Linked DNA regions of Drosophila melanogaster. The protein of the gene in region 1 interacts with the protein of each later gene in a pairwise test. Each region holds a gene or a part of one and is shown in the gene's direction. Other genes may lie near its edges.

Region 1 (8,467 bases):
ACTTGAATGTCTGCCTTATCATTTTAATTAGCCCAGGTAATTATTTTTATATATATTACAAACTCAGTAATACAAAGCTTAAGATTTCAGTGTGTACTTAGTTTTAATAATGCCGATCGCTTAGCAGCTTCATTAGCTCAGAAGTTATAATCACTGAACATCTGGCTTTTTTGGAAGCTGTTTAGGGAAATTGCCACGTCAAGCACCCGGAGACAATGGCATTTCAAACGTGATATAATTAAATCGTACCCACAATACTTGGTTATTGTACTAGAAACAATTCAGATATATATTGGGATAACGTAATCAGCTTCAAGTGGCAACGAATCGCCTTAGAAATAATTTTGGTACGTCGATGTACTTGGAGTTATCACCATGGACCCGACAGTTCCCAGAAACTTTGGAGCACTCAGTGGTTGGTTGAGTAGTAACAGAGAACCCCAAGCATTGTGGAATTCTGAAAGCTATCGTCAGTTGAGTGTTAAGTACCGAGCGGAGCGGACATATGGGGTCCGATTTGTGATAAGTCGCGGAAATGGTATGGATAACGCCGGGTCTAGAATAAATTTACCGGATATTACTGGATAACTATAGTTTAGTGCAATAAATATAACCGATTTATGTTAATGGAGAAGTTAGTTTTCGATTAGTGTCAATTCTATAATGACGAAAATTAAATATGAACTTGTTCCAAGTGAGGAGCAAGAACCAAACGAAAGTAAAAAACCTTTAAATTGGATAGTGAAAATATTATTTGTTGTCTTGGCGCTTTTTACCCTGGTCATTTATACCTTGAGCGGCGCCAATAATCCGCTCAAGAACAATGCAGATCCATTTTCCCCTTGGAAATCCATGAGACTCCTTGCGGGATCAGGTTGGACCAATAATCCCGGAGATCTGTCGAGTCCTTTGAATGTTAAGCATACAACTCGTAGTCTGAGTACAGAGAAGCAATCTACGGAAGCAATCTATAATAAACTAGCAGATACTGAGAGCACCACCGAGGATCAAACTGAGATAACTACCGTAGACCACACGGATGAAGTCGTAGAAAGTAGCACTTCATCACCAGCTACTGGAGCATCGAAAACAGAGACTTTATATGCACTGGAAGGAAATGGAAAGAAATACTTCGTCCATAGCCCGCAGTGCCAAATGAGCCACCCAAATCCGTTTGCCAATAACATTCAGCACATCTACAAGAAACATTCCTATATAGTGTGTGATAAAAGTCGCGACATGATCACAGTCAACTACAATGTAACTGACAGCACGTACAGGCTGCACAAGAACGAGAACTCCACCTGCTGCTTCAAGCAGATCCTTCGAGCAGGAACTTCAGCCAATGCGGATCATAAGTACAAGTAAGTTTCCAAGGACATAGAGATGGACACTGAAGATTAGTATCCCGGCAGGCTGGGTCCTTGCGTAGAATTTCACCAGGACTTCTTGGTGCCAACAGAAGTGAGTGCCATGATCACCTATTGCCGTCGGCCTCCATTCGATAAGGTGTCGCAAAAGGATGCCTTCAGTTTTGTGCATCCGCGAAAGGATCAGATCGAAAATCCCACAACGCCGCATAGAAGAAGGCCCAGCGTTTTGCTGTGGGGCATTGATTCCATTTCCCGAATGAATCTTGAGCTTACGATGCCCCGTATGTACGAGTACTTGAACAATCAACATTGGTTTGAGCTTCAGGGATACAACAAGGTAAACAATAATTTAATTTTGAATGAAAACACATGGATTTATTAAAACTGCAAGCCTTTCTACATTAGATGGGCGATAATACGTTTCCGAATCTGATGGCGGTTCTCACGGGATTTAACAAGACCTACGCGAACGCACGTTGCCATCCTGAGAAGGTGCGTGGCCTGGATGCCTGTCCGTTTATTTGGAAGGACTTCAAGGACAAGGGATACACAACTGCCTTCGCCGAGGACTGGAGCAAGTTCTCCACGTTTGACTACTCTAGCAGGGGCTTTTTCAATCCTCCGACCGACGTGTACGGCAGACCACTGGTCCTGGCCGTGGAGAAGGAGCTAACGATATTACAACGGGGTCAGATGCCCTACTGCTTGGGCCGCAAGCCGGCTTCCGAATACATCTATGACATGGGCGTGCAGTTCACCATGGTCAACCGGAACAGCACCTTCTTCGGAATGTTTTGGACCAACACATTCAGCCACAACGACTTCTCTATGCCCTCCGCCATGGATGAGAGGATGGTGAAGTACATGCGGACGTTGGACAAGAACGGCATAATGGATAACACCATCATCATCTTCTTCAGCGATCATGGATCCAGGTTTGGACCATTGAGGAATTTGGACAGCGGTTTCGTGGAAGAACGCTTGCCCTTCATATATATCCGTGTGCCGCGTTGGATTCGTGAGAAGTACCCGAAGCTCCTGCGCAACCTGCAGATGAACAAGAACCGCCTGACGTCGCCATACGATATCCATGCCACCCTGAGGCACATCCTGGAGCTAGACACTCCCAAGGATAAGCTACCTCGTCCCGATGGCTGCTCCAGCTGTCACAGCGTTTTCGAGGAGGTGGACTGGTCGAGGAATTGCTCACAGGCCGGGATCGAGGATCACTGGTGCGCATGCAACAGCTTCTCCGACGTGCCCACAACGGATCCCAGCGCCAGGAGCATGTCCACCCAGCTGGTGGAGGCCATTAACGAATATGTGGCCAGCAAAAAAGGAACGAAACGGTGCAGTCGCTTGAAACTGAACCGAATATCCTCAGTCCAGAGAAGAGGAAACTCCAATCGGTATCTCATCCAGCTGATGGCCCAGCCGGGTGACGCTCTCTTCGAGGCCACCGTGGATTGGGATGCCAGTGCCCAAAGGATTCCCGCTCAGATGCCCAGCATCAGTCGGTTAGACACGTACGCCGCAAAGTCAAGATGCTCGTCGGTTAAGGAGACCAAAAAGTACTGCATCTGCTGAGTTCCAACTGCAAACTCTGGACAACCGCTAGACCGCACAAAAAAGGACTCGCTACTGCAATCTTTCGGATCTCGGAGCCTTTGTTCTCCGGAGCAATGGAATCTTATCACTGGGGTGGATCTGTGGCCGGATGGTTAGTTGCTGGCAACTACTACTTTTGGCAAACGTAATTGCAGCTCGGCAAATTGTGCGAATGGAAAATTAGTTGACAATTACATGACAATTGGCAGATACTCGGGTAATTGTCGAGTGATTAGAAAAAAATACTGGCTCTAATTAACCCAAATCTTTGTAAATATTTTTTAAGCTAGTTGTAACAGCCGCTTAGAAATATAAGTTGTATCAACAACCCAAATCAGTTCTGCACAGTTTGCTTTCTTTTATAAGGATGGAAAACGTTTAATTCATATTAAACATAAATGCACACAAAGAGCGAATCCTAGATTATCTAAATATATATACATATATATGTATCGGGTATCTGGATTCGATAAAAAACGTTAGTATTGAACGCTTTAAGAGAGGCAGATAGGATAGGATAAAGTCTAAAACTAGGGGAATATAATATATAGTTACTTGGCACAGAAAAGTATAACTGACTAACTGAAAATATACTGAAATAACTGAAAACCTATTCAATCGAGATTCCCACCAAGTAGTCAATGAATGACAGTGGCATGTGTTTTACTAATTCGGTGGTTGTCATATGCTTTTTTGAAGACCTCTATCATAAATGAAGTAAGCTTCTAAAGGTTAGTGGTTTTTGATTTATGTAAGTGTTAACACGAAACTATGACATACAATGGTGCTGTAAACGGGGAGTGATGACATTTTCAAAAAGCTTATATCTTGCATCGGTTCCATTCAATTTGTTACCCATTTGTGGATAGGAATTGCAAAGAATTCCTTCTACGCATGGGGAAACTAAGAAGTTTCTAAAGATACGTTAAATAATTTCAAAAGAGGCTTGCATATGGATTTCGAGTAGTAGTACGCATACAGGATTTAGTCGATAAAAATAAATCTTTCATAAATGTAAGGGTATAAGAGCTTCGGCTTAGCAAAACTAGATTCCCTTTTGCTTATCAATTTGTTAGATATGAAAAAAGAACACCCAGAGTTGCAAGGCCTAGATAATTACTTTGTTGTTTAACAGTAAGCACCCGTTTGATTTATCAGTTAATAATGATAGATAAGTTTTCCCTTAAATCATTGGTTGTGGGCTCAAAATTAAAAAAAAGTCCCATGAAGAATAATGAAAATGAATTAGTTTTCATACGTGTGTATGCCGAGTTGAAGTGATATTTTGAGTTTCATTATCTTCCATTCATCAGTCAAAATGTCAAATAGCATTCCCACTAAGAAGGAAAATTTGAAATAAGATAATTGGTTTAATTTAAATATGAGAAAAATGAAAGTCGTTGATAAGCTGCCATTTACGAGCTTTCCTCTCTTTTGCAAAGTAGATAGTATTCTATTGTGGTTTTTATATGCTGGCTATTCGGTGGTTATTTTCAATTAACAGTGTAATTGATACTTTAGGAACTCAGCGAGGGTTGCCTCCAAACTCGTTTCGCAAAGGCAACTGTTATGAAAACAAATTTACGAATCAATCAAAACATACGAGCATCAAAACATATCAGGCTCAACTTGTTTTCCCATCGAAAGGGATGGACTGAAGTGGAATGGGATGAAATAGGATGGGCGGGCTTGAGAAAAACATGGCAGCGGATGATTTCATATCGGGGGCAACTACCCCGAACATCGCCAACAAAGCCACAACAAATCAAAAACTATCACATTCATATTTGTATTGAGGCATATCATTATACACCGAAGATCAGATGCGCTTCGCTTAGAGCTTTAGAAAATCAGTTTAACTCATTAGCGAGGCTATAAATGCATATGACATACATATGGCATTATATGGCACTGGATTAAATTTTAGGATCGGACTTAATTAAGTTGGGAATTTCATGAGAACCTATAGCATTGTCACTTATGCATATGTATGAAATAAAGCACATATACACATACCAAACATTTAATTCAGTATATGATAAGCTCTCCCTCCTACTTTAAAGTTCCTATTACTGTAGTCAGGGTGTTCAGATACAATCATTTAACTGAATTCGAATCACGGCGAACCTTTTACAGGGCGTCAGAGACAATTGAACACGTGTACTTGTACTTCATTGCCTTCGTGGGCCTAATCTGGACCGGTGAGAGGGTAATTTGGGTGGGCCAGCGGATTTCTACCTGGACGGCGAGAAAGGGAAACGCCTATTAAGCGGCTCGTTGCTTCCGAATGAGAATGGAATTGGGCCAGGCCAATCTTTTCGTCCTGCCAGACAGGGATGGCGATACTATCTGCTGGGATGCAAATGGCGGCGATGGGAGGTCCTTGCATAAATAGCTCGTGGATGCGCAGCCAGCTCAGCAGTAGCAACTCGACCATCACAGCGAAAGGATCGCGCCACGATGAGTGACTTCAGCATCGAGTATATTTTGAACCGAGCCGGCGACAGATACGTGGGCACCAATGCCTCCTTGGGCGTCCTGCAGCGACTCCGTGCCAGCTTGCCTTTCCATCCGTACGCCCACCCAGCATCTTATGTCTCAAAGGAGTCTGGAGGATCTCCTCCAGCCTCGGCTGCGGAGGCTCAGATACCCGTCTACGATTGGCTGCAGTACACCCGGTACCATCCGCCCAAGTTGCCCAGAGCCCTCCGCCAAAATGCGCCCGCCAAAAGGACTCCTGGTCGCCTGCCCCGCATACCATTTACTCCGCAGCAGCTGCAGGCCCTGGAAAATGCCTACAAGGAGTCCAACTATCTGAGCGCCGAGGACGCCAACAAACTAGCCGACTCCTTGGAGCTGACCAATACGCGGGTGAAGATCTGGTTCCAGAATCGAAGGGCTCGCGAGCGACGGGAGAAGCGCGAAAAGGACGAGAGCTGCGACTCCACCTTCTCATCGAACGCCTCCAGTCCGGAACCGGAAATGATCGTTGTAACGTGAGCTGGAGCAGGATATCCACGAGGACTGTTTACTGTTACGAATTTAGTGGCTTTCTGTAAATACACATTATAGGACTAAGTAGACCCATAAGCATATAGAACCAATCTGACAATATTAAATCTGTTAATTTGAAATTATTGGGTGTTTATATGGGTTATCATTTAAAACGTTTCAGCAAACCAATAATATTTGAAACCACGCTTAAACTGGATATTAACTTTGGTGTTAACTTGTAAAAACAACCTTCTGAACTTATAAAGACAATTCTGCACGGCCTTGTAAAAAAAATCGGTCAGTCATGCAGAACTTGAATTTCAAAAGATTGTTAATATAATTATCATACAAATTAGTTTTATATTAGTTTACTCTTTTAACTTAGAGAGTACAGTCTAGTACACACATATTTAATGATTCTTGGGTGTAATTTATTTTATTTCGATTCAATTCAACGATTTCGAAGAAGTGCTTGTAGATATGTATTTATTTTGGTTCGACAAATACAGTTTTTTGATTTCTAGGAAATGTGAAGTACACCTAATTGATATGATGTATTGGCAGAAGTGTTCGGTTGAAATTCACTAAGGTTTGATTAACTTTTTGCTATCTGGGTACCTTACCTCATTTATATTATCTTTTCCGAGAATCGAACGATTCAAGGAATCCTAAGGAAGCCGTTTCCCTTTCAGATTACGAAATACCGTCGGCTAATTAATCGGTAATTAAATATAACTTTAAAAGTTAGAAAATTTATTGTTGCTGGATTTGTGCCATTTAGTAACCTTTTAATTAAACAAATATAATATATCATGCACAGTAACACAAACGTTCATTTTTTGAGTGCCATTTTGAAAAACAAGTTTTAATGCAAGATTGCACTTAACTTGAGAAAGTTAAAACTCTTAGACATTAAAAAGTAAGTAAAACAGTAGGTGAGATAAATTTAATCAATAAATGATTTATAATTTACCAATTTGCTTTAAAAAATAAAATAAAATAAAAAGAACTGCAGTATTACTTATTAACCGCCAGTTCACATCCATTTCACCTGAAACAAATCGAATATAGATTGAGTAATTTAATATTTCAATGCGGAAACTGATTGACTTCACTGTTTTTTTTCTCATGCCAACATCACATAATGGGATCAAAAATGCCGACCCCACATATATGATAATACATGCATATGTATGTGTTGCTTAAAATGAAACGCATATGGGAAAATACGCACGAAAAGGTGAATGAAAATGTGGAAATTCGCGTGCCGGAAAAACAGCAAATGGCGAAATAAAGACGAGGGGCAGGCTAAGCCGATTTGGCAATTGTTGCCGTTGTTTTTATGGTCAAGAGTAATTTCTTTTTCCGCTGCCTTTGTGTGCAAACATTGTAAAATATCAGTTTACAAAGCGGCAGTTCCTCCAAACAGTGATTTTGGGGGAAATGATTTCGGATGCGTTTCCCTAGTCCATTTTCAGCCACAAGGTCAGACAAATGAGTTTACGCAAATCCAGGAGCTGTCTGCCCCTAATCCCGAGTAAATCCGATCATGGGCGTAGGGGAATGCCTGGGATATCTATCCAAATCGAAGTGGACAACATAAAGAGGGAAATGCACGCGACACTTTGCTATCTTAAATGAGCATCGAAAGGTGGTCGTTGTCGAAGGGTTGAGAGTAATATTAAATTTCGTATCTGGTATCGAAGGATCATTAATACATGCAACCCTAAATTATATATATACCTTTAATAGTGTATAGCCAAGGTCTTCTTTTCAAGACTCCGGATTTCCATCCAGTGCCCATCCACATCCTCGGAGGATCGTGACCAATCTAAGCCGCACTCATTAGACGTAGATAATTCGTGCAAATTTGTCAAATCGGCTTATGATTTGCATTCTATGAGCGAATGTTTATGTTACTAATCTAGTCCTGTTTGACAAACAATGCGGCAATATTTATTCAAATGGCGTAGAATAACACACAGCCCACAGTCCTCCAGGATTCCCTCTTCCGTCCACCCTGCGGATCAAACAAAGGACAAGCGCAGGCGCATGCTTATGGCCCATTTTCCGTAAATGGTTCATTTGTACTCGTAAGACGAGGCCCACAAAAACTTGGGAAAACGCTGAAGATGGTTGCGGGCGGACTAGTTTTTGGGCTCAACGTAATACCCATTTTGCGTAGATTGCGGTAATCGGGGTGTGCTGGCTTAGCGAGGCGTCAGCCAGACTGTCCTTTTGCGATCCTTTGAGGGAAAGGAGACAATGGCATGGCCAATGACCATAGCCCAAGCTTTATTCGTGTAATATTGCAGAAATATTATAAGATTTTCGGTCTACGAGTAATGATATAATACAAATTTAATTATTTTCAGGCTTTAAAAAGTAACTCTCATAACTCTTTTAATTAGCAGGAGGATTTAAAAAGTGATTGCCTAATAATCAAATGGAAACTAACCTCTCATATATGCCAAGTTATGAAACTTATCAGT
Region 2 (13,185 bases), 4.8 Mb from region 1:
CAGTTCAAACACTGATATACTGATACAGACCGCGAGAGAGAGCCATGCCCAGGCCCAGGCCCAGAACCCAAACCAGCACCCAAACTGGAAATGGAACCTTAACTGGCTGCAGATACCCCAAACTGATACCGATATCCTACCAACAACAACAGCAGCAACGACTGCAACAACAACTAACAACCAGCAGCGAGTCCAATTGATAGGAAATCTTCATTATCTTATAAATACGGCTGCATTGGTGGTCGTGTATCGCTAAAAAGCCAAGATTAGATACTTTTATCTAGCTGGGTCAACCTCGTCCCCTTGTCCACAACCCATCCCCAATCCCGCGCCTCGAACGGAATTGGCGACGTCACACATAGAGTTCCCCCATTATCGGTTAAGCAAATTCCAAGACCGACTCGGATGTTTGTCCAAGAGGAGGAGCCGTGCACTAGGTTAAGTATCCGCCACCGATTGACTTACGATTTCGGTTGGGTCTTGTTGGGGGCCTGCCACCGGGAGGGATATCTCTAAATTCTAGTTGTGGAGTCGAAATCTCTGTTAAGATACGTTAACTTATCTAAGGCCACTATCTATTCTCAGATATTCGATATGTCCCTCTATGTATACCATATACATACGTACGGGCCGTATTAGAGGCGTTGGCGATAGGGAAAATCGCTTTGGTTGATAGGAGCAATCAGCGGGTGTGCAACACCCAACGGAGTTTTCATTCCAGAAGAGCATTTTTCCTCAGACAGCCGCGGAAAAGTGACATGCTACAACTCGGTCCAATTTCAACTCAAATCGGTGGCAACGAGAATCCCATCCATAAATTTCTCATGGCTAAATCGCAAGGCTTTGAAAGCAACGAACAACAAAATGTCAGCGCTCATAAGTAATAAATAATGTTTGTATGCGTTTTGGGGTCGACGGAGTCGTCAGTTAACCAGCTACCTACCCAAAACCGAATCGAAAACCCAACACAGTCCGTACTCCACTCCGGGTACCCACTCCAAGTGCTGATCCCAATCAACCCCAGTAGCCATGATTGTTAACGTTAATGGCGTCGATGTCGTTGCTGTTTTGTTGCCGTTGTGGCCTCCGTTTCATGTCTTACGTTTCCCAGCCAAAACAATGCCCAGCAGCAAGCGCACTGAGCACCTCTGTCGGATTATTATGGATTGCCAGTTATAGTGATGAGTCACAACCTGGCCCCATTGGCAAACAAAGGTGCGTATACTTAACAAACAAGCAAGAGAGTCTCACAAAAAAGAGACCACTGCCAATCGCAAGAGGCTATGCAGTTGGAATGGAATATGCATTAGATCGAAAATGTATGTTAATTGAAATCATAGTAAGATATGGATAAAAATTGTATTAGTTTTGGTTATAAATAATAAGTTATTGGTTTAATAACATACTTACCGCTCCTCAACAAGCTCCTCCACAAAAACTCTTGTTTCTTCTCTGATATCCGAACTTTCCCCTGACTCACTCGAAAGATACATCACTGTCCGAGTGTCCAATCCATAAATAAACGAATGAACATTCGTTAGCCAAGTGACAACTCTTCGGAGCGTAAACAAAGAAAGCTTAACTTTTTCCTTGCCAGCTCCTTCTGCGGAATTGGACCTCCTGCTCTTCCAGCTGGTAGGCAGTGCCTCTTCCTCCACCTGGGACCATGAAATCCCGCAGTGCGGAGTGCGCAGTTCCATTTTCATAACTCATGTCCGAAATGTTGTTAGCGTGCTTTGGCCGGATGATTTATGACCTCGGCGCGGGTTAATAGAATTTACTTGAACCCAATTTGCCAGCGGTTGCAAAGCGCAGAGTGCAGCCGCCCAAAAGGGAGAGCCATTACGGCACTTCCATTTGCATCTCCATCTTTCCATTCCATTTTTATTCGATTGAGCCACGCCATTGCGGCTGGCAGGGATTGGGCAACCAGCCATGCGGGGTGGGACTTTGGATCGAATCGGATCGCACCCCTGCTGCCGACTATAATTAAAACTATGGCGCACGCCTTTGTTGCCACTGGCACGTTTAATTTCCAAAGAGTTCTTCCCCTTATCAGAACAACCCGTTTGTGCCGCCAAACAAAATTGGAAAAAGACCAAAAAGGAAAGCTAGAAAAATAATACAATTATAACCAAAACAAGAGCGCAATAAAGAATATATAAAAATTAAATTCCATAGCGTCATTCCAGACAAAGATCGGCGATACTGTCAACTGGCCGAGAACACTTGAGGCTAGATAACTTTTAGGCTATGGTTTCTTAAGGTTTTGGTTCGCTTCTATGGTCTTTCACGGACATAGCACTTGAAACTCCATGGAGGTGGACAAGTTGAAGGGTGTACGATTCCGGGTGTACACGATATGCCATGGTCAGCAATCTTAAGACTCTGTCTGTTTCGCCGCCCCTAAGTCTTCCGTCTTAGGGTCGTAAATTCGCCGGCAAAGCACCTAAAGCTAGGCGCGGCGGTGCCATCAATTAGGGTATTAATTGCCCGGCTCTGCCGTGGCAAGAGAGCCACCTCGATGAGTCAGTCCTGTGGCCGGGTATCCAGTTTGGAGTCCTCCTCCTCAGCATTAATCTCCTGTAATGTTGATTTCGTGTAGCGCCATTTGTAACGATCGAAACTGGCATAGCCGTCAACTTTTTGAGTGATTAATCACCGCACAGATATTTCGCGACACGCAGCAGTAGCTACTATTAGATACTTTTTGTCTGCCGGTTTTGCTCTTAAGATTTGCCCATGATTTATGCACCGCATGCGTTGCAACAATTAAAATTATCGCCTCAACTCGATTTCCATTCATGGGAGCAGCGGAAAGTTGCCCGTAATTGTGGCATTATAAGCAACTCCGAGGGGATTGTGCATGTTAATGGCCGTCATATATCTGCTTGCTTTATGACTTTAACTATAAACAATTTATGATTCGCTGGGCCAACTTGGCTGGGTGGCCAAGATATGTGGCTAACTTACAGATTGCAGCTCTTCGAAGAAAAGAAAGCAAGGAGTTGGTACGGATTGCCATAGGGGCTTAGCATTAAGCATATAAGCCTAGATTGAATTTTTTAGAATTTAAGTCATGGTTTTCATATACATTTTATTATAAAATGTACTATTTAGCTACTACATCCCTATATATAGTAAAGATATGTTTACAATATTTATCTACACATACATCTCTGCTTACAAAGTATCTGTAATTGACAGGTTGAAAAATATATCAGATTTCTGACCAAGCACTCCAATCACCCAACCACTTCAAACTCAATCTTTTCCTGGCTGGTGACAATTCAGGGGTTTTGCAATATATGCGCCGCACCTGATCCTCGACCACGTGTGCTCCTGCCCTCCACCTCCGCCTCCTCCGGCGGTGTTTATTAGTTACAACACTCGAGAGTGGATTGTGAAGTGTGGAGAACTAGAAGAACTGGAGAAGTGGAAGTGGAGCGCAACAACCGAGCAGTCGAGCTGTCAAAGCGGCCCACATTCGGGCGACTGTTCGTGGGGTCATATAAAGTTTCCGTGCCCATGCCCATGCCCAGTCCCACTTTCCAGGCCCAAGCCCGATCCGATGATATTCTGTTGACGTTGACTAACGTTGCTCGAGTTTATTAGTTTGCCAGAAAAGTGTTTTATGAGTGCAATTAGAAAATGCGCTAGACTAAATTGCACAATTGACAAATAGCAGGGGGCGAGGGTGAGGAGCGCTGAAGGGTGGAAATGGAATCAAATGTGGTGCTGGCTGAACTGTGCCGGCTGGTGGGCCTCTTGACGCCACTCTTCGGAAACCTCGGAACATTGGTGTAACATAGGTGTGTTGGAAAATCGGCCGAGCGCGCAGGCGCAATTTGTATCTCACGGATACTTATCGCAACCGTGGCACCAACACTCGTTGCGTATCTTATCGCATGTGTGTCGATAAGATAACCAATACCAGGCGAGGCGGTACAGAATAAATCATAACGCTGCCACACCGACAGGACCACGCACCCACACAGGTGTGAGGCCGCCCAACCGCAGAGGCGCTGGATCTTCATCGGTGTGGGTAGCTAATTGGGCGGCAAACGCGCCGCAGGCACCGCATTGCGTCGCCGTCGTTGTTGTCATCGCAAGTGAGGTGCTTGGTGCTCAGAGTGCTCAGTGTTTAGTGTATCGAGCCCATAGACCGGAGACCAGTGCCACCACCAGAGCCCAGTTGGTCTCGAAAAAATAGCACTTCGTATCACTGCTAACTGGCAAAGGTTGCGCGCGGGCCACAACCACAATCGCCCCACGGGTGACAGCATTAGATCGCCCCCAAAGCTCCAAAGTTCCTACTTTCCCAAGTTACCAATTTTCGTCAATTTTCGCCAATTTTCCCCACTTGCTCACTTTGCGCGGCACTTTTTCGGGCGCCCAGATTGATAGGAGAAGTGAACCAAACACCTGGACAAGCCGTGCTTGTGATAAATTTTTGAAAACACAACAGAACTGAAATCAAGTGATAAAAACCAATCTTAGATAAAACGCTGGAAGAAACGCAAAGAAGCGGCGTAACTTCAATTTGATGGTCTGCAAAACTATCTCACCGAGTGTAAACATGCAGCTGAAGGTGGGTAAAATAAACTTATAATTATTCAAAAATAGTCAGCGTAATTTTTGGGTATTATATATTAAGTTTGCCAAGTCGGTATTTTCTTTTCAAAACCAATTCCGTTTAAAATCCATATCGGAATGGAGAATATCAACCTGACCGCTTAAAGCAACTATACGTGAACTCTATTAAAAACATTTAAATACCTTTTTGATGCTCATTTACGAGATCTCTATAAGCCTATCTATCATTTCTACTTTGTTGAAAGATCATAAAAGTTTTTAACGTTTTCTCACACAAGTTCATTAAGCTAAATAGACAGGCCATATAGGGTCATTAAAAGCAGATAGTTCAAGTTTATAGATCAGTCGCAAGGCACGAATAAATATTAATTTATTAATTAACGGAGTATAAAGAGCTTTCAAAGGTATTTACAGCTCGAATAGCCATATAGATTTTACATCCTTCGGTGTACCGAGCCAGAAAATGATTTTAGCCCGCAAACGGCAGCGATATGGATTTTTTTCAGTTCTAGCGCCAGGGAAATAAGATAAGACAAATTGATTTATAATGAATGAGTCATCTGGGATGCAGCGGCAAACTGCGACACTTATTTTGGTGTCTGCTCTTGGAAGAAAAACCGAACCGAAACGAACCGAAACCATTAAGAAAACGAGAATGGGTACGAAAACGGGGCAACAAGAAAGCAAGTTAAATGTGGAAAGATGGCTAATCTTTATGAGGTCCAAATTCAGCTGCGATCGAAGGTGGCGTCAAAATACCTTTGACAAAAATAAAATTTGAAACACGCAGCCGACTTTCAACTGCTCGCTCCTCTTCATTCATGAAAAGGGACTGTTTTTACCCATTTTTTGCTGGCCACGGATAATGTGAAATTTATGTCAATCTTATCACCTCGCTTTGGTCCTGCTCCTTATCCCTGTCTCTAGCGTATCCTTCATGGGCTTGGGGTTGGTTTTGTGAATGAATGCCAACCCTTGGCTCATCTGGGGGTACTTTTTATCCTGCCGGAAGTGTCCTTTCGACCAATGGAAGAACAGTCCCTTAACAGTTGCTCAATGGCGGCATCGATAGTTGCAGTTCCAGTTGCAGATACTTTTATTAGACACGCGTCGCCAGTTGACAGTGGATGATGGCTGATAGGAGAGAGGGCGAAGGTTGCGATTGATGGCCCTTTAATAGAGCTGTAAATGCAGCTGGCAGTCGAGAGTCTTATCTCACTTTCATTAGCCAACTGCAGTGAAGTTTAATTAATCGAAGGATCTTCTAACGAGGGCAGATATAAAGGGTATAAATGTATATCCAAAAATGGGTACATTTATTTACTTCCCATTCTTTTGTTAATTATATAGATATTTTGAAAGTGCTCTCACATCTTTAGCCTTTAAGCAGTCTTACCCAAGAAATTGTTCATATTTTTTTATAAGTCTAAAATAAAAAGTAAAACTGGCAAAGAATTTCCTCGAGAAATTTAGAATTTTAACAAAAATAGCATTCATCACAACTGCATTATATTCAAGTTTTATAGTTCTATTCAGTTCTAAATGCCTTAAAATGTTTGGTCAGAGCTGCCTTTGAAATTTGCTCAACCACGAACCCAAGCTCAACGAAAGCGAAACGAGGTGCGATTATATAGTCAATATCTTTTGTTTATATAGATAAAGTACGAAATGTACGTGTGTGTGTGTGTGTGTATGGTTGTGGGTGTGACTGGGCAGATTTCATTCATAAGTTCAGCGGACTCCACACCCTCGCAACGATTCTTGACTAAGCCGAGCAAATAGCGCATGCCATTGCCATTCTCGGGTGACAAACATCGCTTGCACAACTTTTGTAATTCTTGGATATATCTGTCCCTATTGATGACGTAGCCGCAACTGAGAGTGGGTGCGGGCAGTTGGGGGATACCAACCATGACCTCTCAGTCCCAGCAGCAGCAGCAGCAGCTGATTATGTACATTGATAGCGCCCGGATAAGATATTGTCCGTATCGTTCGGCCGTAGTATCTTAACTTTTTCGCGGTACATGGCACGTGCATGGGGGCCTACCTATCGTACTACTACTATATACACACACTCAAAGTCGGGTTTATCTGCATTTCGGGCAGACGATTGTCTGAAGTGACGTTTGCACCACATTATCTCGCACCCTTTCCATCCAGGGAATTCTTTGAACTTTGGCCAAGACGTTGAAAACTTGGCACGGTCATCACCGCCGGCGGAATGCAATCAGTTTCCATGGAACTCTTTCGTCCCCCATTTATATGCCTTCCACATAAGTAATTAAACTTTGTACCTTGGTAAGCGTTAGATTTTTCATTTTTACGGCTTGTCACCAACTGAATCATCATTGAACTTGGCTTGTGTCCACGCAAAAAATGTATCAATCATTTGTGGCACGTCAACCTAAAGTTCTGCGAAAGTGAATCAATTTTCATTAAATGGAAGATAAAGTATTAGTTTTTTCATATAAAGGGAGAGTGGGGATTTTTATGGAATGTATTAAATCAATTCAGCGTGGTGATTATTTTCGGAAAAAAAAAACACCTGTACAAGTATATGGTTATATCTCAGTTAAAAGCAATTATCTTTGCAATATATTTCAATGGCCACAAAAATTTTCCTTTAGTGTTGCTGTGGATTTCCTCAATTGACGGTGGTGATGGTTACACATAAGCACACACATTTTTTGGTATATTTATAGCCATGGTAAAGGTGGAAACCACCTGAAAGCCTCTGAGCTATATGGCACTTGTCATGAGCGGACTGGCGGTAAATTTCAACCTGGCCGCATCGTGAATCAGGTGACAGTGACGATCGAATGTGTTGACACAAGCTCGAGGATGGGAATGGGGATGGGGATGGGTATGGGGCTTTGGAGTGGAAGTGGAAGTGCCACCCCCAACGGAATGAGGTCATAAACCCAAAAGCGACTGACGTATGGCGGGGAAAGCAAAGCGATTTTATGGCCAAGTTTAATTTCCGCCAAAAGCCAAACTAAACCAAAAAAAAAAAAAAAAAAAACCACGAATACACAAGAAAAATGAAAACGAAACCAAGGCACCGCTCTGAGTTTAGGGTTCTGTGAGCAAATACTTCTGCTGGTGGAAATGAAATGGAATAAAAGTGAAAAATGTGTTCGACAATGTTGACACTGAGCAACTGAGTGGTAGAAAGGAGAGGGGTCGCCTCCAAGCCCGTCTCCGTTCGGCTCAGTTTCTGGTACTTTACGGTTGTAGGCGACAAATTGAGCTGTGAGTCGAGCGCGGGCGGTGTCTTTGAAGTCCGTCTCAGCGGTCTTGGTTGGGCTTGCGTCTTGTTGACTTTTGTGGCGGAAACCGAGGCGGGCAGTTCGCACTGCAACGGCCGGAACTGGAGCCACACTTTTGAGACGAGCCGGGCGAAACATGGCATTCAACACTTGTCGCTTGCTCATTGCAGATGGAACAGCAGACAACGCAGCAGCAGCAGCAGCAACAGCAACAGCAACAGCAACAGCAACAATTGCAACAGCAACAGCATCAGGCTCTAACCAAGCAGCAGCTTCAACTGCTGGACAAAATCAAACTCGAGTCCAGCAACGGCGCCGATCAGTTGGCCCAGCAGACGGCCAACAATCTGGATGAGCAGCAGGAGCAGCAGCAACAACACCAACAGCAAGCCGCAACATCGGTGGGCGTGGTGGTGCAGACGGGCCAAGCGGGCGTCAGCGAACCGGAGGAGCAGTACGTGGTGGTGCCACGCAACCAGCGCCGTATTCTCACCACAGCCGGCACACTGTAAGTAACCTCTGGAGACCTTCTTTTCCTAAGAACATAAGCATTCACAAATTTCATTTTTAAACACAATCATCTAATGCAAATGGCAATCGATAGTTACAATTTACCATTGTTATTTAACAGTGTTATTAACAACATTTCAGTGAATTAAACGAAGCTCGTGAAGGAGAACCGAGCACAAACGCCAGCAACGCGAGCTCAGGATCTGCTTCGGATAGCCACATCGAGTACCAGCGCAGTGCACACCAATCTCCCGGAGCCACTCACTACGTGCAGATGGCGCCACGCAACGCAGAGGTGACGGAACAGGTGGGAGCTGCTGCCGGAGCTCCGCCGGGCACCATCTTCGCCTATCCTATTATCTGCAACGGTGACGATGTGGCCGCGATCAAAATCGAAACACTCGAGAAGGGAGAGGCGACGGGGGAGTCGCAACAACAGCAGCAGCAACTGCAGCAACACCAGCATCAGCAGCAACAGCAATGTCCCACACCCAACGGAGCTAGCTACGGCGAGACCATAGTGATCAGCAGCGAGGCGGAGGCACTGCAGCATCACCACCAACAGCAGCAGCAGCACCAGCAGCAGCAGCATCAGCAGCAACACCACCAACACCAGGCGGCAGCTGCAGCATCGGCGGCGGCCCAGACGGTTCACATTGCCACCAGTTCGCATGGTGGAACCGTGCGCTTCGTTACGGAGGATGTACGCTTCACCACCGCCGGACCGGAGACATCCGCCTCGAATATGTACTACGATGTACCCGTGGTGGATGGCAGTGTGCATGCCAACGAGTCCAAGACCTACGCCGACCTAGGCAACGCATATGCCCCCTTCCCGCCCAGCTCCAGCTTCAGTAGCAATAGCTATGCGGCAACGCTTCAGCAGGGAAACACTATTTACAGTGTTCCGGGCACCGGTCAATTCTTGGCCAAGTCCGAGTCTGGCCTAAATCAGACTGGACTGCTGCGCCAGACTGGACCGGCTACTTTTCAGACGATATCTTTTGAGGGCGGCAACGGCATCGAGCCTTTATGGGCATCTCCCGCCCCGCCGGAGTACCAGAGTGTTCAATTTGTAAGTATAATTTAAGTTACTGGTTCTTGAGGCGGTACATACTAACTGTTCTCCCGCATGCTGCACAGAGCAACTTCCATCCGCAGGTTATTGATGAATACGGGAGCGGCAATATGAGCACCTCCCACTGGCCGCCCGCCAGCAGCATAGGGCAGTACGATGGAAGTCTGGTGACCGCCTCGTCCACATCGTCGCCCAACCACGAGCTAAAGTGCGAGAACTGCCATGGGCCGTTCTTGCGGAAGGGTAGCGAGTACTTCTGTCCCAATTGCCCGGCCTTTATGCGGATGGCGCCCCGTATAACCCAGAGGCAGGCGAAGCCCAAGGCCGCCGCCGCCCCCAACAACCGGCGCAACGGGGTCACCTGCGCCAACTGTCAGACCAACTCGACGACCCTGTGGCGTCGCAACAACGAGGGCAATCCGGTGTGCAATGCCTGCGGACTGTACTACAAGCTGCACAACATGAACCGACCGCTGTCGATGAAGAAGGAGGGCATCCAGAAGCGCAAACGGAAGCCTAAGAACAACGGAGGAGCACCCATGCACCGAGCACCGCTGCCGAGTGAGTACACCTGCCAGGGATTACAGTATGCAATAAACTAATCCCAATTCCCAACCAGGCATGTCGCAGGGAGTCAACCTGATGGCCAACAGTCCGCTGTATCCTTCCCAAGTGCCAGTTAGCATGCTGAATAGCCAGCTTAATAGCCAGCAGAATTCCAGTCCGGAGCTGCACGACATGTCGACGACGGGTCAAGCGGGTGGGCAACGGGTGGTGTCCATTTCGCTGAATGCGACGGCGCCGCCCACCCCCGACGGAACGCTCAACATGTCCGCCCGTCATCACGTGACCGGCGAGAGCCATTCTCCTTACAGTCAGCAATCAACGCCACAGAGTCAATCGCCCCATCTGCCCGGCACGGTGCCGATAAACCGTCAGATAGTTCAGCCGTAAGTTAAAGATACTTTTCGCTACCCTGTCGGACTCCTCAATAATAATCATACCTTATAGAGTACCCACCATCGAAAGCAGTCGCAGCTCCAACACTGAACTGACCCCCAGCGTAATCACGCGCACTGGTCTGCCAGAGCGATCATCGAATAACTAAGCTAGCTTTGACTTATGGCTTAAGCTACGCACTAAAGTAACCTATAGTTAACCAAACCCAAATTTCAAAAATTGCCAAAATATTTATTTAAGCCCTAGCCGTTAGTCATACTATATAGCCAAGACCAATGTCCCAGTTAGAGGAAGATTTTGCCGGGTTTTCCGGGTCTTGAGTAACCATTTAACTGTGCAAATGTCTTCCTCCTTTTAGTCAACTGCTTACAGCAAATAGTTTTGAAATGATTTGTGCCAACCACTTAGGATCGCTATACTCTATATAGAGGTAGTTTAGCCCAAGACAGCACAAGCCCATAATGAAGCCTACGATTTTGTATGTTTAAGCCTCTTTTTAATTCTACAAAATAAATAAGTTGTAAACGCAAGGCACTCGGACTTTGATGGCTTTACCAGGATGCGAGGTACCTTGGTGGAGATCGTTATATTTCATTGTCAACAATTTGGCAGCCAACCAAATTGATCCAAATTAATTTTAATGACCCCCACGGACCACAGCGCGAGACCATAAAATCTTAACAAGTTGGCAGGCAAGAGACCCGCGATGGGGCAACCCAGAGACGAGGAACCCAGATCTCGCGCGGATCACCGAAGCATTGGAGCAGTGTCTAAATAGCGATTTGGTGTCATCGCTTAAAAGCCTGTCCGAAGCACAGTAACGCCACCGCCCGCAGCCGCTGCCTTTGATCTGCTGTCGGCGGTACGGATGGCATGGCTCGGATGGTATGGCATGGTATGGCAAAAATGCCCCACAGCCCGGGAATGGAGTCCAGTTTGAGTTCGAGTCGAAGGAGGTATGGTATTAACGCCTTGCGCTTGGGGTCTCTCTTTGTCCGAGCCTTCTTTTTGTTTTTGGCGTACGCTCGATCAATTAGGCAAACTTGTTTTACGACCGCTTTTATTAGCGTCCGCTCTGGCCGGCGCTCCAAGTTTACCGATTCGAACTCAAGCCGCGGCTCCACTGGAGAGACTACCACTTGGACCGAAGCCCCAAGTTGGTTGCGGTTTCCAGACTGCGGTGCGAATGAGTAATGAGACGGCGGTCCCAGCACCCGGCAGCTATGGAATGTGTTGGCAAAAATTATGTGCAGCGTCAAGTTGTGCAAGTGGAATGGAATGGATTCGAGGGCATCGAAATGGAATGGAACTAGTGGAGTACTATAGAAAATAATGGACAGCATAGGAATGATCACACTAGCACTACAAATGCCCAAGCTGACCAGAAAATATTCACTTCTTTTCTGTTTTTTTCGGGCATTGTAAAACTGCTCCAAAGAGGGCTAAAATCTTATTTAAAGTTGTAAATCGAAATGAATGTATATTTCTCTATCTCTGATGGTTATCTTATGCTATTTTTTGATCATTTCGAGCTCTAAAAGATTGCATTTGAATTAAGTGTATACACGACATCCTAAAGTAATGAAAATTCATAATCTTTTTCCGCCCTTTTGCATGAACAGCCGTCTTGAAAGGAGCTACTGCTACCGCATACGCTTTTTAATTAGCCCCGTCAGACGGACACATAAAGTATATCGGAATCGCAATTGTATTTATGCTTTCATAACTCGGCAATCCATAATAAGCGTACCACTAATAGCTGCCGCACCTGCAGCCAGCGGCACATCCTCTGCAGCAGCGAATTAAAACATTAGCGACCAACCTGTTTCATTTCCCATTTTTCCTGGCTAAAAGCGGGGAGCGGAGGGCTGGCGAGACCGTAAAATAATAATTCAATGTGACAGGCAACAAGATACGACAGCGGGCGCCATTTTTCAGATGCCACAGCGCCGCACTGCCCCTCGCCAGCGATCCCCTGGCACACTTACTATACAAGTTGCAGCGCACTGACATTATCGCCGGAATTATGACAGACGTACAACGGCGCAAGAAATGGGGGAATCACCGGTTGGGTGAAGGGGTTTTGGCAAGAGCGATCCGCTAATCTTCGGAGCCTTGCATGCATTTGAATTTCTATTAAGTTAATTGCAAATTGGCCAAGGCGAACGCGCATTTGTTCATGTCCAATAACAGTCGAGTAACGATTGTTTCTACAGGGAGAGAAAATTATAAATGATGTGATTCTAACTGCGATATTAAATTGTTCAAATGGAATTAAAACCATTTAGCTTATGCCTGTGTCACACGCCCATTTAATAAACTCCTCTGCCAGATAATCTAATCTAATAAACTTATTAAGCTGCTTTTCTCTCCGTGCAGATGTGATCGCGATAGAGCTGAGGCCATGGCTGGGTCATCCAATGGGTGCATAAAAGCCGACATAAAGCCGAAACTGTCAACTCCCCCACTCCCTGCACATTTAATTAGCCAGCGTTGACCACCTAGCACGGCGGCCTCTTGAACCCGCCTCGGTACTCAACTGGATCTCGAGCTGGCCCCGAAAACATCGAGCCGGGTCCATAGGCGCCACTTAGCCAACTTCAAAGTGCGGCCGCAGTCGCGGGTCGCTGGTGGTGCATCTCCCTCGGGACGGGCCGCAAGCTACCATCATCGTCAGCGTCATTTTCATGGCTGGCATTACAAATCGACAAACGACACGAAAATGCGCTTTAACAACTCGCAGTTAAAATAGATAAAAGCCGATAGTCAGAC
Region 3 (10,439 bases), on another chromosome or scaffold:
CAGAAGAGGACAATTCCCAAGCGAGGAAATTGGAAAAACTGCTAAAGGATCTGGTCCTAATTTCATCCTGGTCCGCAGTATAGTTGCAGCATTTGCGAATTGAATTCGATTGGTCGAAAGTCCGGGAAGGAAGAGTATGAACAACGGGCTCGGACCCTTTTGCGACGGGGAATTGCCGGGTGCGTTAAATTGAATTTGAATTGAATCCAGCTAGCGGAAGACAAAGCATATTTCGTTTAATTTTGCCAGACAAAAGTCCTTTGTAACGTTATGATTTCGTTATATCTCTTCCTTTGCTATTTTGGCTGAGAAAATTGCACATATAGTTGGAAAGCATCTTATTTCTAGTGTCTTTGCTTGTACCACTATCAAGTGTCCTTGTTTTGTGTGGAATCCTAGAGCTCTATTTAAGGTATTAGCCAGAGTTATGAAACCGCAATACAAAATGTGGTTCTTGTGCTTATTCCATTGAAAAGATCAATTCGTAAATCAATAATGTTGTTGATGCGTATACTGTTTACAGTCTCAATTTCATGTTTTGTATTATAAAATTGCTTACAGATATTACAGATTATTACAGATAATTTACAGATAAGCCTGTATAATTATCCACACATGATAAAGACGTAAAACTAATCTGGGTTTATCGTAGCCGTAAATTAATACATATCCCTTTTTTTCTGTCTTTGCTACTCTTTTCAATTAACTGTGTTCTCCAATCGCATGGAAAAGTTAACCATGTGGCTGCACTTTGTTTTCTTTTTAGACAACGTGTTTTAATGGCCCGGCAACGGCAGCTCACCCAGTATGCCGAGCTCCCATGGACAACATCCCGAGAACGACTACATCAACAGAGCTTTGACGGCCTGTGACTCCGGATTCATGGTTTCAGAGCTTCGGTGATTCGGTGTTTCAGTGTTTTGGTGTATGGGTCCCATTTAAAATCACTTTGCGGCTTCGCCCATCCCGCGCGCTCTGCATAAATAAGCGGCATTTGGGTTGAGGTGGGTCTTGCCCCTTACATCCCGCCACCTGGCACCTGTCGTCCCTTTGGAGGACTCACTTGCATCCCGTCATTTGCTTATCCTTTGGACGGACTTTCCGCGTTGATTGATGGCAACTTTTGGAGCCTGGCGAAGACTAAGTGGCCCGATGGTTTCCTCCCTCGATAACCTTTATGGCTGCGGTTGGTGCTAAGTTATGACGTGTTAATAATGGCGCATAAGCACAGAAGTTGTGGGCGTCACCTGTCTGAATTTAAGTGACGCATGCGAGGCCGAAAGTCGATTCATTCATCGGAGCAGCAGTAGATGGCGCACGCGAAATTGATTGATTGTTAATCAGAAACTGAGTAAGCCACACAACTGAAAATTGACAGAATTTAAAAAAATATTACCAACTTCAATTGTCTATATAATTCATATTTCAAAAATATATGATAAATGATATAGGAAATGAACGCTTTAGTAATTATCAGGCCCTTTTTGCGAAGTAAGTCAGCGATTTTCGCTTGCATGCTACAGCTAGTCGCTCCACGCCCACCAATTCTCATCTTTTTAGAAGCCTGCACAATGAAGATCCGAGATGCGATCACTAAATAGTGATCCTCTGGTGCTGTTCGAGCATTTCAAAATATTTTAATCGTGGATTTCAGTGGATGTGAAGATTTATGAACATAATAATAACAAATTTGCTAATTGATTTATTGTCGAGTGTATAAACACCATTCGCTTAATTTATGCCGCTGCCGTCTGAGTATTCCTTCCTTTTGTACTTCCTTTGAACCAGCTCGGAGTCAGCGAATTTATGCACTGGAGGAGCAACCAGTGAGCTAAAGCAATCAGGCCGGGCATCGAACGACGAGCACTGGGCGCGCATTTTGGGATGGGATGATGTACGACGAATGTCCTGCTACAGTCGCAAGCACACACACTCACACTGGTGCACAAACCGTTCATTATAAAGGAGTCAGGTCGTCAGGTGAGCTGAGCGAGAGACAACGCAACCGCAGGCAATCACTGGCAACAGGCAACACAAATTAATTATTAATCAACGGGAGAAGAAGCATCTGAAGGAAGTGGGGACCGTAACCCTCCCCTTCAACGCTCGATCCGCGATCGTCCAGCCACGAGAGTGATTTATGCCCTCAAGTCTCTGCTCCCAGAGCTAACGAATCTCAGAAAGCCAGCCCCTATCCAAGCCCCAATGCCAGACCGAAACCAACTGACAATGTTCCGGCCAAGATGGACGATGCCGATGGACGGCGATGGAGATGAAGACTAAGCCCAAAACCAAGACGAAGACGAAGGCCATGCAATCAAGCCCGGCCAACACTCAGCGGTAGATCGCACACAAGGTCAAGCACTCAAGCAAAAATGCCGGTGCTTGATTTTTAATTTAGTTTTAATTTTTTTTATATATTTTTTAAATACTTGGCTTTAAACAACATATGAAGCGATTAAATTAAACAGATTAACTTACATATAGCATTTGGGTATGGGAAAAACTTTTATTGTTATTATTTGCCATTGACTTATGGATTACCCAGATTTTTTAGAATGTAGGGAACTTTCATATTCTTAAAACGGGGATTTTCTTTAGTTTTATTATTGCGTTTTATTAGCAGATATCAATTTAATTCAATACAAGAGAGAAGGCTATAGTCGAGTTCCCCGACTATCAGATACCCGTTACTCAGCTAGTGTGAATCCAAACGCGAAATTTTATAATTTTTCTGGAATATCGGTATCGATATTGGGAAATAAAATGAGAACAAATTATAAAATTGTTCAAAAGTGTAGGCGTGAGCGGATCGGCGGCTTTTGGGCGTTAAAGCCATGGCAAACATTTTTTGCAAATCGATAGAAATTTTTAAGACTTATAAATTTATGGAAAAATTTCGAATTTCGAAATTTCGTTTTGTGCGGCTTGTGGGCGTAAGCCACTAACATGGGTCAACAAACTTGCGCTGCGGCTTTGGGTCTAGAATCTGTATGCTCTCTCTTTTATAGTTCCTGAGATCTCGACGTTCATACGGATAGACGGACATAACTATATCGACTCGGCTATTGATCCTGATCAATAATTTATATACTTTATATAGTCGAAAATGCTTTCTTCATCCAACGAATCTTTTGTAGTATACCCTTTTACTGTACAAGAGCGAACGCTGTAGTCGTGCTCCACGGGGTGTACGAAGGGCACAAGATATACTTCATTTGATTAAAACTGATTCTACATTCTTATCTAGTACACTTACAATCTAGTATACTTACATATATTTACTGTCCTGATGTAGGGTAGCGATGACTCGTTTTTCTCGCTTGGTTTCGGAATCTGACTAAAATATTGAGAAACTGTAATATATAACCAATATTTTTCGTTGGCTATAATGTCTGCTGCAGGGCGTCCAGCAAGAAGACTTCGCCGCTCTGTGAGCCTTTTGGTTCCACCCATATCAGTCAGCCCCCAAGTACGTCAGTCAGTCAGCGAATGGATGTTGTCCGTTGGTCCGGAGTCAGTCCGCCCGTCCGACTCTGACTGCCCATCGCACATGCAATGGCCGCAGCATTATCATTTGGGATACTCAGATCTTGGCGTGTCGAATTCAGCTTGCGGTGTCCGGGGTCCGCGCGGCGGATTGTGGAGATGGTATGGGAGGGCCTCAAGTTGCAACACAGACACTGGGCGAATCAGAAATGCCAGAATTGAAATCGCAGTTTAAATCATTTCTCGGTGGAACTGCTGCTTCTTCAGCGCCTCCTCGCCTACATGGTGCCCAGTCACAATCGCCTCAAATCTCGAATAACAAATCGCATAATTACGGGGAAGCGGCTGTCCATTGCGTACCCTCTCGCTCCCACTCTCTGCCATCAGTGCGTCCCGCTCTAGTCTTCTGCCTGGCAGCCAAACGAAGACGAAGGAGCGAAGGCTCGAGACGGCGATGCAATTCGGATATGAAATATTTTAGCTAAATGGCAGCCGAAGAAACAAAAATGTGGGATTGAAGCGTATAAATCAGCGGGTATTCGCTCCGTTGCCCTCTGGAGCCCACCTCTCATTTCGGTCCTTTGGATGCTGCATCAATATGTGGATGTGCAGCGGCTGTGTGGTGTCTATGTGAAGCATAAAATCAACCTGAGGCGATAAATCGAAAAGATTTTGCGCTGAACACGCAATTAGTTCACCTCTAGTGGAGGATTCCAATGACATGGAAAAATGGTTTTGATTTCGCAATATAAATGGATTTGCCTTGTGTCCCCGATTTCTATGGACACAACTGAAGGCAGAATATGTGTGAAATGTTTTCTTTGATTGGTGAATTAACATTCTTTTCTTTCTCTATCTACTATAATATACAATATTTTTTATTTATTTTTTTTTTAATTATTGCTCTTTTAAATATACGAACCAAACACACGTTAGAAAATATTGATATTTTCGGGACTTTACGTTGGACAAAACCAGACACTGCTATTCTTATGAACAGCATAAAAGTTGTGAATTTGCTCAAGAATTTAAGCAGAAAAGGATAACATGAAAAACTATTGGGATTTTCTTTTTATTCCTATATACACATTCCATTTTACAAAAATAAGTGAAATAAAAAGTCGATTCCAAAAAGGGAAAATACCTTTGTATTTCTTAGTTTCCCTCGCACTGCTATTTTATTGAACACAGCTGTAAATACATACATATCTGGGACACAAACGATGAGACACAACTGCGAAACATATTCTACACCTTAAAATATTTAAATAAGAAGTAAAAAAGAGTTGAGTAAAAAAACTAGACAGAACCGATCCAAATATTCTTTATTAAGATCAATAGCCATCTCAATCTATCCGTTCGTATTAACCTCGAGACCCCAATAGACCTTAACCGTTAGGAATTATAGCTCGATAAATGTATATATGAAAAAGATCACGAAGTCCAATCAAAAAAAATTGTAAGTAAATTACCCCCTAATCAGAAATCTCTGGTGTTTTTCGAACTTAAAAACCACTCAAATATTCGAACTTCTCTCTCTCAGTTGCACAAACGATTTCGAATTTCGAACTTCTTGTGGGAGAAGCAACTCGTCGCGTGCGTCGTACGCTTGCTGGTGAAAAGTGCGCTGTGAATTATGTTTTATTATCTGTGTTTTACAGTTTGTTCTATCGAATTTAAATGAAAATACGCATCAGCAACAGTGTTTAAGCTCTGCTTTGATGAGAAAAAACTATTTCCTCTAATCCAACCTTGCTACTTGCACTCCGATCCACAGGTTCGTAATATACATATGTATACCCCAAAATTATAAAATAAAATGAACATATTTATGTTTCGACTTGAACTAAGGTAAATACTATGGAATTATTGTTTGGTAAATACATTTTGGTTGCTTTTGGCCATTAAATTGTCATTAATTAAAGGTTTGCTTGCATACCGACAAAAATCAGCTGTTTTGCGGTTTGTAGGGTCAGTGGCGTACATCTCAAGAGGGGGTTAAAACATTTTCGTGTAAGCTAACAACTTGAAAGAATCTATTAGTGGTTGATATGGTACCTATGTTTTGTGAGTACGTTTAAGAACTAATAAATAAATATTTCGTTGTTTATTATTAGCGAAATGTTACCATATATTTTGTAACAATTTCCTAGTTCGAGACCCTCATCCGAACGCCTCTGTCCACAGACTGTTTTCGAAAATTCGACAAGCGAAAGAGCAAGAACAGTTATTGTCTCGTGAGCACAAGAGCGCGACCGGTTTCTGTTTCGCTCTCGCATGTTTGAGTGATTTCGAAAGATGGATGAGTTACTTCGAATTTTATGGGAGAAACAAATTTAATTCCATTTGTCGCCATTTCTGAAAAAATTAATCATTTTACAAATTAAATCGGAAGAAAATAAAATGAAATAAAAAATAAAGGTAAACCAACAATGCGTCGACGAATACATAGTAACGAAAAAATTCACTTTTGTTAAGTTTTTTCAAACATTTAACGTACATGTACATGATTTAAAATATTATTCTTTGCTATTCAAAAAATGTTACTAGGATTGCATCTCCCTAGGATAATATATTATTAAATAAACAATTACACGGAAAACTTGTTTTTTTCTACACCTATTACTTGTTGTTTAAAAAGGACATAGAGAGAAGAGTTGGTCCGTTTGATGGTCGAGACTTCGGAAACTAAAAAAGCCGAAATTTTTAGCTATCAAGGTTTTTGCAGAATGTTGCCGAGCCCACGTCAACGTCCACAAAACCGCCAAAAAATTTACTCCCACACTTTTACAAAATGTTTTCAGTTTTCTGCCCTTATAGTAAAATGGTATACTAGATTCGTTGAAAGAATATATGTACATATTCATAAGTAGATATTATTATAGATGATACTTATGTAGTAGCTCATTTTCATTATGTGTTATCTATAGGAGCTGTATTTGCTATTATATCAGGTTTAATTCATTGATACATATGTATCAATATATGTACATATGTATCATTCATTGATAGCCCAGTCGATCTGGCCATATACATATGCCCGTCGTTATAAACGTCGAGATCAGGAGACTAAGCATACAGATTCTAGAGACATTGTAATAGAAATGTCAATTGCCAATTTTTATAGATTCTTTGTACCAAAAACATTTTGTTTACGCCCCTCCTAACTACCTACAAAACGCACAAAACGGCCAGGACAACATATTAGAACAATTTTGTCATATCTTCTCATTTTATTTGCCAAAATCGATATAATAAATATCGCTATGACAAAAAAATGATGACATTTAATCTGATAGTAGTGGAACTTGACTATAGCATTTTCTTTTGTTCTTATTTTCCCTTTTTCTTTCTCCAACTTTTATCAATATGCAAAAACAATTTTTTTATGTATGTAAAAGCTATAAAACATAAAAAACAAAATTTTTTAAGGAATTTCCTTGTTTCAAAATGTTTTCATATATCCAAACTATTTCTAAAAGGAGCCCTAAACATAAACGCAAACATATATCCTCTTTGGTCTATTTGGAAATTAATAAAACGGACTTTTGCATGGAACGAATTTAAGCCAGCCTATAGTCAAGGTACAAAGCTGGTAAAAGTGCGAATTAGAATTTTCAACATTTTTCTGACATATCGATCGAAAGAAATATAAACTAAGTAGTAACGGGTAAAAATATTAACCAAAGATCGGATGGAAAATAGTTTGGCCATAAATACATACATACGTATATACAAATTGGAAGGTAAGGTGCCCTGTAAGCCGATGAACATTTGAGGAGCTCATAAAAAATGACTTAAAATTAATGTATTGAAATGTATTCGATTGGTAATCGAAAACATTTAAATTCTAAATTGCAAAATTTGTCGCTGATTTATTGTTTTGTAGAGCAGCATTTTTACGAAACTTCTGCGCAGGGCCAGTTTCCGAACCAAAGTGAATACAACAATGAAGAAATGGCTATTCCTTGTCTCACTCACTCACCAAACTCCATTGAAATGTCACTCAATTCCGTGTCAGATTGGCCACGCTCACTGGCCATCGTTCCTCTCAGAAGTTAGGAGTTAGTTAATTCAAGTTCTGAAATTTTTAGAAATGGAAGATATAAGATAACATCTTAGTTAGTTGAAAAAAATAACAACATAATATAAAATAATTAGTTGAAAAATATAAAAGAAAATTAATAAAAATAAAAATAAAAATTAATAGAATTTTATTTCTACCAAGACGTTATCTTCCATGTACTTTCGCAAAGGACATATCTGTTTAAACGACCCTGTCAACCATGTCCTTCATGCTCTTTTCTATTTTCAAAATGTATCCTATGCCCAAGACATTGACAATAGCAAGGACGAAAAGCGGACAACAAAGCAGAAGCGAATCAGAAACGCAAATAATATAGGATAACAGGAGAGCTGCGAATCCTGGAAATGCCTACAAGAAGGGTGGTGTTTTTAGACGGGTGGATGAGGGCGCCCCTCGGTAGACAATTAAAAATATATTTAAGCTGCCAGAGGTCTTGGGTCTAAACTTACTAAATGACTGACAAGTCCGTTGCCTTCGAAGCAAAACACTGCCCCGAAAAAGCGGGGCTGTTAAAAACAAGACAAAGGGAATTTTAAGAAAACTTCCCTCGCTTTTGTTTTTCCCTCCAAAGCACTCGTGTTTTTTTTTTTTCACCCACTCCAACTTCTCCAATCCGTAGCAAAATCAGTTTGAGTTGTGTGATTGTGTACGTGAGCATAACGGTTAAGGTGGCCAAGACTGGGTGCAGTCCACCCCAATGGCCACCCCCTGTCAGAATTGATTGATTGAATTGCCACTTTATGAAATTTGTGAGTCTTCGGAGATGTGCGTGGAAATTCGTGTTCTCGTCTTCGCCTTTCCTCTGGGGTGGATCCGTACGGTGGGTGGGTAGGGGTTTTTCTTGGGCTGGGTGGCTCTCCGAGGGTTGTTCCTTCTGATTTGTGTTTGTGTGCGCGCTGGCTAACAATTTGCAGCATAAAATACATAAAATTATGTGCAGCGCTGAGGCGGCCATTAAACTTGATAGATTTATGACGGACAGCAGCAAGGGAGCCGTACAAAAACAAAGCGAAAGTGTCTGAATGGGGTCTTGTCTTTCAGGCCAACCCCCGTGCAGATATAAAGATAGCTGATTAAAATTGCAAAATTGTCCAAATGAGATTTGGCGCCCAGCGGATATTCTGGAAAATGTCAGCGATTTATATATTTTGTTGCCTTATACATTTTAATACTTTTATATATTTACGATTAGCTTTAAGATTATAATTATATCTTGATTTAAACAGAATTAATATGAAAGCATATCAAAGCATATTACTCAATTATACACCAAGATTTTTTTTTAGAGAACGTGCAGATACTGGTAATGCTACACCGATTCTCACACTTACAAATCCATGCTCATTTTCTTGCGGTCAATTGTTGCCTTAGCCACAACATTGATTTAAATAAAATCAAAACATAATCTAAACAAGCCTCTAGACATGGGATTTGTATTTTCGGAAGAGTAGTGGGTATTTAACAGCCGACTCACTTGTTTCTTATTTTATACAAGGCAAGTGAAAACTCTACAGTCGAGTCTCTCGACTCTCAGATACCCGTTTCTCAAATAGTGGGAGTCAAAGCGAAAAAATTTAAAATTGGCCAAGTAAAATAAAAAAAATGCACACATTTTTTCAATGATGGAAATTGACAAGACAAACAATAAAAGATAAGACACAACAAAGTATGGTCGTGACAGTTTAGTTTAGTTTCTAAAACGCGGTTGCACAACGTGGGCGCCACTAGAATTTGGATGCTTTTGGCTTTAATAGTTCCCGAGATCTCGGTTACTGATCCTGATCAATAATTATGGACACCTTACAGGGAATCGCTCCAATTCAACAAATCTAGTATACCCTTTAACTCTACGAGTAACAGGTATTAAAATCAATGAACTTGAATCTCCTTGGGCTACTTCTTGAATAACCGTAATGAAAAAGCATCCAATTTAAATGCAAAATGAAATGGAGTGAAAGGCTTATTAGAACAGATGGGCGAAATTAAGAACTGGCCCAAATAAATGAAGTAAGATATCTAGAACCTATTTCTTTTTTTTTCTGGAGCTGGCAATTACAAAATGATTGAATGGTAATTTCGGAGGAAATGTTGGTTTTTGCCTTTTCTGTTTCAGGTCTATGAGGCTGTTCGGGTGCGTATGTTTGGAACTGGCATAAATTCCCATTATTTATGGAGGCTGCCCCTGTTTGTGATATTTTATTTCGCGCAAGGCAAGCGGAGTATAATTTGCGCCCAAAACAAACAACACTACAAAAAATGCCGAAACTTAACAAAGAAAAAGCGTCCTGAATGTTTGGAATTAATTGCCCAAGCTCCTCCAATCACAAACAGAAAAAGAAGCTAAGAGAAAGGGAGAAAAAATTGTTTTAATTAATAAAATTGAATGTGTGCGAAAATTGAAAGGATTTTTCCGGCCCCTTGGTGGTGCTGTTGTTGTTTCTGCGGCATTCATCTTCGACGCTCATTCGCAGGCTTTCCTCATTGGTCTCATTTTGAATGCAAATGATTTATGCCAGAAAGTGTCCTGGCCGAAGAGTCGGGGCCAAAAACTGGATTAGAGGGTGCCAGCGTCGGCTCGTTTTGCTTCACACCCCCTAAACTTTTTCGCCCATCGCAAAAGAGCGGGCACAGCCGGCAAAGTTTTAGCCCCAAACTTTGGAGGTCGCCTACGATTCCTCAATAGCCCGAGGGGTATGTGCCGTTAGAACCGAGTGGGCGAGGGGAGTTTTTAAATATTTACTCAACATCCTATTATCCCCATGCGGACTGGGCTAAGGACAGGCAGCGGACCACAACCCGGGCTTGTATCAACATTTAAAACGATAAACTTACCACATACACAGACACCCGACAGAGAAAAATG

What was found.
Region 2: the proteins of CG15696 (region 1) and GATAe interact in a two-hybrid assay, tested with the Drosophila melanogaster proteins (one large-scale study listed by BioGRID).
Region 3: the proteins of CG15696 (region 1) and CG31612 interact in a two-hybrid assay, tested with the Drosophila melanogaster proteins (one large-scale study listed by BioGRID).

Annotation. Positions count from the first base shown.
Region 1 is NT_033777.3:20,841,670-20,850,136, forward strand, and holds CG15696 (uncharacterized protein), read left to right. Parts: upstream 1-5,398; 5' UTR 5,399-5,441; coding exon 5,442-5,981; 3' UTR 5,982-6,079; downstream 6,080-8,467. Other genes in the region: CG15695 (uncharacterized protein), read left to right, coding at 664-1,364, 1,416-1,710, 1,779-2,960.
Region 2 is NT_033777.3:16,008,193-16,021,377, forward strand, and holds GATAe (GATAe), read left to right. Parts: upstream 1-4,081; 5' UTR 4,082-4,546; coding exon 4,547-4,591; intron 4,592-8,035; coding exon 8,036-8,373; intron 8,374-8,516; coding exon 8,517-9,450; intron 9,451-9,518; coding exon 9,519-10,014; intron 10,015-10,072; coding exon 10,073-10,403; intron 10,404-10,464; coding exon 10,465-10,561; 3' UTR 10,562-10,941; downstream 10,942-13,185.
Region 3 is NT_033779.5:21,790,073-21,800,511, reverse strand, and holds the start of CG31612 (uncharacterized protein), read left to right. Parts: upstream 1-5,064; 5' UTR 5,065-5,118; exon of another isoform or gene 5,119-5,266; intron 5,267-10,439.